Arabidopsis thaliana: one gene and its partner. The main gene of each other region encodes a partner of the protein of the gene in region 2 in a complex. Each region holds a gene or a part of one and is shown on either strand. Other genes may lie near its edges. A codon is read from its position in the direction of its gene.

Region 1 (4,076 bases), on a different chromosome or scaffold from region 2:
GCTGAGATCAGAGATCCTAAAAGAGCCACACGTGTTTGGCTTGGTACTTTCGAAACCGCCGAAGATGCGGCTCGAGCTTATGATCGAGCCGCGATTGGATTCCGTGGGCCAAGGGCTAAACTCAACTTCCCCTTTGTGGATTACACGTCTTCAGTTTCATCTCCTGTTGCTGCTGATGATATAGGAGCAAAGGCAAGTGCAAGCGCCAGTGTGAGCGCCACAGATTCAGTTGAAGCAGAGCAATGGAACGGAGGAGGAGGGGATTGCAATATGGAGGAGTGGATGAATATGATGATGATGATGGATTTTGGGAATGGAGATTCTTCAGATTCAGGAAATACAATTGCTGATATGTTCCAGTGATAAATGAGCTCTTTCTTGTTGGCGTTTTTTGGAGTTAAGTGCAAGAAGAGATTGACACTGTGGCTTGTTTAAAGTGAACAAGAACAAGAAAGCATGTAATTAGTAGTCTCATTCTTTTGTTTGTGGTCAATTCTATGTTTATCTCATATAAAATCTGAGTTAAACCTATCTGAGGAGAGAGTAAATAAAGAGGTTAAGAAACCCAACATTGGTCTGAATTATAAACGTAAGTGTCAACGTTGTTTATAAAGGAGAAAACTATAATTGGTGACAAAAGACATAAAGAAAAGATGTCTACTCCTACAAAGCATCGCGTGCAGCTATTCGACAAACAATGGCATCTCCCAGAGAGGAAATTCCGAGCTCTTGGCTAGTTATCTTGTAATGCTGAAAACATGAATGTATTTGAGTTTATTTCTGTAACATTGGAAGCGAAATAAAAGGGTTATCAACTGTTACCAAAACATTACCTTTAGTATATTGGCTTGATTTGCATGTGTCTTCAATTCCTCCAAATCAATCTCCTTCCCGTTGATCAATTTCGCCACCTCCTCCATCTGGTTTTGATCTCAAATCATGTCATGGTTGATAAAAAAAAACCACTAAAAAGAGCAACAACATGGATAGTCAGCTCTTAGATGGTTGAAAAGATTATAACCTCAACGGGAGAAGCATTGAACCGGGCAGCTAGAATGTAAGTAGTGTTCTCAGAAATCCCACATCGTTTCAATGATTCTGTAATCTAGTTGAAGAGGAAAAACAACATTAGAGAAGTTGAGTGAACTGCTATTCTTATTACAATTTACCAAACCAGAGAAACTTGATAAATGAGAGAATCTCAATACTCAACTAACTATCTCATCTTAAACCAACTCACAACAGCTAAAATCTACTGCATTAAATCACCATCTAGTTATAGCAGACCTGTAGCTAAGGCTTGAACAACTGAACTAGACACACTAACTGGTCACTAGCTAACTAACTGCTCTCTAACCAACTCAAAACAGCTAGAATCTGATGCATTAAGTCTAATCTAGTTATAGTCGACCTATAGCTAAGGGTGGAACAACAGAACTAGACCCATTGTTTATCAGAAGTAGACAGGAATAGGTTTAAGAAGGACAAGAAAAGATTGTACTTACGTGCTTAGATCCTGAGTAATTGTAGACAAGCTCAGAATGAAGAGTTCTGGTTGATAAGGAATCGCGTGATTTGGAGATAAGTGCTTTCTGAGCAGCAGCCAATAGAGGAAAAATGTCTGGAATCTGATGATACACAACAAAATTCGTTAAGATCAGGAACTCTTTAGTCCTTACGAAAGTTGAAATAAATGGAGTAAACAACAACGAAAAACGTACAAGTGATGCATTGAGAAATGAGACCTCCAGCTTCAGACTTCCGTCAAGCATTGAATTCAAGAGCTCCCTGAATACGACATAAACCCCCTAATGTTAGATTCACTAGGAAGATAAAGAGAGAGGCTTTAGCTATGCAGAGATTAAGTAAACAGATTTTCCCTAAACCCATAAGTCTCTAACTAACAAACAAAATCGAAAACGCAATTTTCTTTCTCATATAACCAAATCACGAATTGCTTAAGTTATGGAAAAAGGGAGAGAATTGAAAAATCGAGAGAAGGAGCGTACTTGGAGTTGGTGACACCGGAGAAGAGGGAAACAGAGAGAGTGTTTCCACGGTCAAGATTAAAAACCTTCATAGCTTTAGCCGGCGGCGAAAAAGAGGGCAAGATTTTTAGGGTTATTACGACTTATTACTTCGCCGGAGATCGACACACATTCGGCGAAGTCAGAAGAAGACTAGTCAAAGATAAACCCTTCTTCTAGAAGATCTTCTTTCTCTTTCATAAAATAAAAAAAAATAAAAGACTACATTACATACGCGCCAGGAAGGGGTCGAACCTTCGACTTTCTGCTTAGGAAACAGACGCTCTATCCACTGAGCTACAGGCGCTCTTTACGCTACCAAGTCGCTAATAACGTAGTATTAGACACTAAACAAGTCTTTTTACCATTTCGATTATCATATTACGACGTCGAAGCAGGGTATTAGACTATCAGTGTGATAGTGTGTATGTTAAAATCTCATCAAAACAAACATCGAAATCGGACGTACTTCAACATTGAATTTCTGATTAAATTATCGATGTTTGCCAAATATCTTTTGAATAGTAGACACTTAAGATTTCAAGTACCCGTAAAAAGGATGGAGTAACATACTCAATAGAAAACTAATTAATCTATTCCATCCAGCCATATCCCTTAAGTGGAATCAATGATCACAACTGCTTCGTTACAAGACAACACCGACATTTTGACTAACGATGTTGGATTTAGTGTACGAGCTATGAAAGTGGAAAGGAGCACGAAGTTCACTGAACCTTGTTCTTTACTATTATTGTGAATCCAAGATCCGACCTTGTACGTCGAGCCTTTGTTTTCTTACTTTATAATAATGTTTTTTATGCATAAATCATCACAACAAGACAAACCTTTCTCAGATTTTGTGAACTGCAAGAGACAACCTTTGTTCACTATATGGGAGACCATAGCAGAGAGACATACTCACATATTTATATATTTTCTTCCCTTTTTCTTCCCATTATCCATGTGAGAGATTAATGTGATCGATATTGCATTACTTACATCAAATTAACTAAGTTTAGCTTTAACAAAAAAAAAAAACTAAGTTTAATATCAAGATTCATGATTTTTGTAACTCAAAATCAGCAATATAATTTACTCCTTATATATTACTATATAAGGTTCAATCATATAATTGGTACATGAGGTTCTTAACATTTAATTTAGCCAACATGAACCTATCACCAAGTTAATTGGCAAGCTTCAAATAAAATGAAACTCCATAGTCGAGAAAAACAATATAGATACAATACAATAAGAAGAGTAGAGTTAATTAATTATATCCGTTTTGTCTGCAAAAATGGGGGTTCTTGGTTGTTGGGGTGAAGATGAAGAGCAGCGTCTGTGTATAATTTACTGGCAACGGCTTGTGGGAAACCTTGTTGCGTGGGAACTCAGATTAGTAGTAATTACACTGTGCAATTACAGCTATCATTGTCACATCATGGGTCTTTTGAGATGTGTATAAAGTTTTATACTACTATATATTATGAAGTTAACTATTTATTAATTACTCAGCCTCCAGTTTATCTGTTATATATGTGTTTGTTCTTTTCGATTATGATTTAAACAAATCTTGTAAAACCTTTGGAGACTTTGGAAAGCCAACAAATTATTACTATTTTTTTATCCCCATTTCTGCTAGAAGCATAAAACAACTGAGTTTGGGAAATTTCTCAGAAATTGCATGCTACTATTTTGGAAATGCATGTGCATCAAATTAAAACGTTCATGTGCTTAAAACATCCCTTTGCGTCAAATTAGGGTTTATCTTCCAACAATTAAATACAGGTAGTATTGTTTTTGTGATCATAAATGGCTCTTCTTGACAATCAAGAGACTAAGCTTTAACTTTTCCCCGCTGTTGATCCCAAAAATGAGCTATTAAGTTATTATTGAAGATAACTTACATATATTAAGAATCTAATCTTAGATCTCTATACTCAAAGAGACAACACTTATGTCTCTTTGTGTGTGTGTGTGACTATCAAACACAATAATAAATATATATTTCTATTAAATTAATATAAAAGAAGAAGATATGACTCCAAA
Region 2 (4,310 bases):
CGCATCTGTAACCGGGACATGTTCGTCCGAGCGCTGGGGTTATCTTGATATAGGCATCAACATAACCCAAATTTGACCGGAAATGGCAATGTTGAACGACCTTTGCGTTTGGATTAATGCTGTAAAAGAAGAACTTGGCGTAGAAAATGTCTCCCGGAAGAGACCTTGTCCATTGTTTTTTGCCATAGTTGCACATAAAGCCTGCTTTTGGTTTCTTGATCCCTTTCAATTCATTGATGGCTTCGAAGATCACATTGGTTCCGTCTTTGAGTTCGAAATCGGAGCTGTAGTATTCGCTAGGATGAATCGTTTCGTAATCAGCGTAATGGTTAATCAGAGGGTTGTTCTCCTCGCCGCAGGTGCCTTGTAACACAAGGTATATACACAAGGCTCCAAGAACCAACTTGTTTTCCATTTAACTCTTTTTGAAATTACTTTTAGGTTTTATCTATTTTTTCTTGTTATATATGAAAAGTTAATGGTTAGAGAACGAAGCCGTTATATGCTCAAATAAAAGGTAGTTAAACGTTTTGTAATAATGGTGTTGTAACATTCTTTATTTGTCATATGTTCGTTGACATAATCGATAAATATAGTAACTTTCTAACCGTAATCAATAATGTTGCTTTCTTAAGTACTTATATGAGAATGCCCTGCTTGACATATGTTCTATAATCGTTTTCTGGTTGAAAAAATCGATCACACATCTCAGCATTGATACCTTAATACTGATCGACAAATTGGATCGCTATCGAATAATAATACAGGACAGATTTTGGGTGGCTTTGTGGTCAAAGTTTTAAGGACAGTACCACTGGAGAACTTGGCTCATCGCCTCATCCAATCATAGTCCGCTTTCTCCCTCGCTGTCTCACTGCATATACCAAAAGAAGACTTTCTAAAGGTTTGAAGAAGAGTTGGTTTTAAAAGAGGAGGTGGAAGAGGAGTGTGATAGAACCTTGTGCGAGCTTGTTAAACGTGGCTGACCATTGCTTTGAGGACTTCCTATACGCCGTCAGTATACGATCCATCTACAATTGACAACAAAATACGCAGTGAGACAACAACAACAACAACAACAACAGACCCAGCAAAAGTAGTGAAGTTATGATTTGCATCACACTTACCACATTCCCGCATGACGAATGCATTGAGAGTAAGGCTCTTTCAAGTACATATAAATCAACAGCTTTGTCTTCAGGCAAGGTCGATGTGACGCTCAAGCCAAAATCAATTAGTACCTGAGGGAAGACATATCCATGGTCATGAATCATAAGTAACTAATCAAGAGAACTTTATCACAACCTCTGAAGATACTTACCAGCTGATTTGTTCCACTTCTGACTAACATATTTGATGTGGTCAAATCACCATGAGCCAAGCCACCATCATGGAGCTTAGCAATTGCAGCCCCAATCTGAGCAGCAACATCATCTAAACGTTCCTCAACAACCCCATTGGTCCCAAACTCAAGGAAAATATCCTTAACAGAGACCCCCTCAATGTACTCAAGTGTTAAAGAGTGAAGCAGAGTATCCACAGCATATAGGACTGGAGTACAAACCCCGAGCTTTCTTGCCTTTGTCATACACCTAGCTTCCTATATTCAACAAATAAGCACATATAAGATGAAATACTCGATTTTTACTTCTCTTTCTCATGACTTCATCAACGAAACAAGAAAAAGGCGGAGTAAACCAACCGCATTCAAGCGTTTAAGTGTGAGTTTTGCATCCAAAATCGGATGTCTATATTTCTTCGAGAAACGTTCTTTCACGATGGATCTTCTTCCAGCAAATGTAGACTCGAACACCCTCTATAGATAAAACTGAAAAGACTTAATCTTGACAGAAAAACATATACACAGATTCGCACAGAGACACTTACAGCTTCTGCTCCTTGTTTAATCAAAACGAGTGATTCATCCCTAACGTTTTCCTCACAATCCATTCTAAATTTCTCAGGATTCTACACAAAACCAACATAAAGAATGAGACTTTAGCAATTGTTTTTGAAGCTCTAGCAATAAGGCCACACAATAATCGCTTCTAGCTTAAGTCTATTCCAACTAAAGATCTCTACTTCAGTTATCAACAACCATTGACCAAAAAATCTGCCTTTCATCATTTAACACAACAAGCTTGCCAAGTTGGTCAAAAATTCTAAATTGCATAAGATTATCGTCGAATTGAACCTGCAAGCTGAGTGGTGACGGAGAGGAGCTCGTATGTGTTCGCCGGAGAATGAGACGAAGAGAGAGATATTCGCGGCGCCTGTTTTCGTTGGAAAGAGAGAAGCTTCTCTTTCGGAAAGGCTCGCGGCTCACCTGTGTTTCACCGCCGGAGGAAGAGAAGCTGCGAAATTTTCGCCTGAGTTTGTCGTCGGCGACTCGTTTGTGAACAATGAAGACGAGGTCGGAACTAGGGTTTTTAATTTTAATTTGATTCCGGTTATCTAGGTGCATACCGGAATCAAAAACCGAAATTATAAGAACATGAACCGGTTTTTGTTTGGTTTATCCAAATTTGAATTGAAAAACAGAAACAGCATTGTTTATGATTAGTTCGTTCGGTTTGGAAAATTTCCAAAACCCTATTTGATACATTTTGAGTTATTTTCTAAATAATCCTTAAGTCATTCTCAATTTTTACCCAAATTAGATAGTTTTTTTTGGATGAATATAAAATTATCTTCATCAGAAAAAAAATAAAAATTACAATGAATGCATCTTAGAGAGTTTAATAATTTGGAGAGACACCAATACCACCAGCACGTACAGTTGCTTCGATAACTCGACAAACAAGTCTGAAACTGGATCTCCTCTATTCGTTAACAATGAGATAGAAGATAGATCCATGAAAACTTGGAAATTTGTACGCAATTTATTTACCAAATGTTGCACTTGATGTAAAAACGTTTTTTCGAATAAATTTTACATGTATTAAAAAAAGACAAATATGTTGGCTTGTGAATTTTAATGATTTGAAACAATGTCTAATAGTGAAATTCTTTAGCCAAATGCACTTTAGCTATATGTCTATATATGAAACCAAATCAATTCGTTTACATTTTTGTGAACCGGTATTTATATTACAACTCTACTTGTTTCAAAAAAGCTTCCAAGTCATTGAGTACTTTTCTTTATCATGATCCTTCAAACTAAATTGGTGATATCACTCTCCATCGAAATATTTCACGATGATGTCACTCAGATTCATGAGATTTAACAATTAAGTAATTAACCCCTAATCACCATGAAGCTAGTTCATTTTAGACATCATAATATCAGATTTTTTGTTCTTCTGATGTTACTTCTACGGGAATAGCATTCATATCGATGTTCGACTTGGTTCTCGAAATCGAGATCGAACTCATGGATCTAGGACGATATATTCTGTTCTCTGCCATTCTTTGGCTTTGATCTTCATCTCCTTCTTCCGCATCAAGAACCCTACATCTCTCTCCAAGTATAATTGGGAGTACCAGAATCGAATTATCTGCGTTCAGTTTCTTCTTCCTCACAGATTTATCCTCCTCCTTGTCACGTTTGAGGACCATGGACAATGATCTCGGTATTTGGATCGTTAGGCTCGCACTCAGTTTCTTCTTAGTAGACAAGGATCTTCTTAACACCATGTTGTTACACGAATATGTTCCACGTATTGTTCCTTTTCTTCCTGGAGGCAACGGAAGCTCAGAGTCCGCTTCATTACTATCGTCATTAAATGCATTAGTATCTCGATCATCGCTTTCCTTGTTCCACAAGTCATCACTTTTCGTGATCTGCAAGTCATTATTTGTTTGTTCTCTTTCTTTGGTCTCCCGAGGAGATGACTGATACATCGTCTCAATCGTTCCCAATGGCCGAGCGTTTTTCTTGAAGCCACAAAGGCCGGTGAATAAGGCGATGAAGGGAGCCATCTTGCTCCAACATACAAAATGTTATAATATAATCAAAAATTGTGTGAGAGTAATGGAATTTAATTTTATGGTTCTCTTAATCTTAAAATTGCTTTGAAAGGACAGATAAATTGCTGGAATTTAGGGGATTTTAGTTTCTCAAGTATTAAGATATGTTCTCGATGTCTTTCTAATTATAGTTTGAAGAAAAGAAAAAAACAAGAAACTGTGAGAAGCAATGTTTGTTAGATAAGGATTTTAAACAATAAAGAATTAAACTTTGGGCTATTTTTAGCTGCATTTTGACGACACAATGTAAGTTCCTTTGACTGAACTGTTTAGGGTCTAATGTGTTACCATTGTTTTTTTTTTACCAAGGAAGAGTAATCTTGCATATCAAGTAATCTAAG

The links.
Region 1: the proteins of AT5G26110 (region 2) and AT4G34412 are in contact, whole or in part, in a cryo-EM structure (PDB 8K20), measured with the Arabidopsis thaliana proteins. Residues at the interface, in NP_001331017.1 of Arabidopsis thaliana: Thr27, Phe28, Ala29, Arg31, Asn58, Ala61, Arg62, Thr65, Arg68, Lys69, Leu70, Gly71, Val72, Cys73, Val76, Leu77, Tyr78, Ala79, Val80, Asp81, Thr82, Leu83, Leu84, Gln151; in NP_680763.2 of Arabidopsis thaliana: Asp7 (codon at 2,062), Phe51 (codon at 1,616), Leu54 (codon at 1,607), Ala55 (codon at 1,604), Gln58 (codon at 1,595), Ile62 (codon at 1,583), Arg66 (codon at 1,571), Lys147 (codon at 744), Thr149 (codon at 738), Gln151 (codon at 732), Glu152 (codon at 729), Ile155 (codon at 720), Ser156 (codon at 717), Asp160 (codon at 705), Val163 (codon at 696), Cys164 (codon at 693), Ala167 (codon at 684), Ala168 (codon at 681), Asp170 (codon at 675), Ala171 (codon at 672), Leu172 (codon at 669).

Annotation. Positions count from the first base shown.
Region 1 is NC_003075.7:16,452,436-16,456,511, forward strand, and holds AT4G34412 (EKC/KEOPS complex subunit tprkb-like protein), read right to left. Parts: upstream 2,199-4,076; 5' UTR 2,081-2,198; coding exon 2,010-2,080; intron 1,789-2,009; coding exon 1,722-1,788; intron 1,629-1,721; coding exon 1,506-1,628; intron 1,106-1,505; coding exon 1,022-1,105; intron 921-1,021; coding exon 834-920; intron 826-833; exon of another isoform or gene 751-825; coding exon 664-750; 3' UTR 525-663; downstream 1-524. Other genes in the region: RRTF1 (redox responsive transcription factor 1), read left to right, coding at 1-363.
Region 2 is NC_003076.8:9,117,403-9,121,712, forward strand, and holds AT5G26110 (Protein kinase superfamily protein), read right to left. Parts: upstream 2,440-4,310; 5' UTR 2,195-2,439; intron 2,063-2,194; exon of another isoform or gene 1,969-2,062; 5' UTR 1,951-1,968; coding exon 1,888-1,950; intron 1,817-1,887; coding exon 1,703-1,816; intron 1,601-1,702; coding exon 1,322-1,600; intron 1,242-1,321; coding exon 1,128-1,241; intron 1,032-1,127; coding exon 959-1,031; intron 875-958; coding exon 837-874; 3' UTR 505-836; downstream 1-504. Other genes in the region: AT5G26100 (uncharacterized protein), read right to left, coding at 1-415.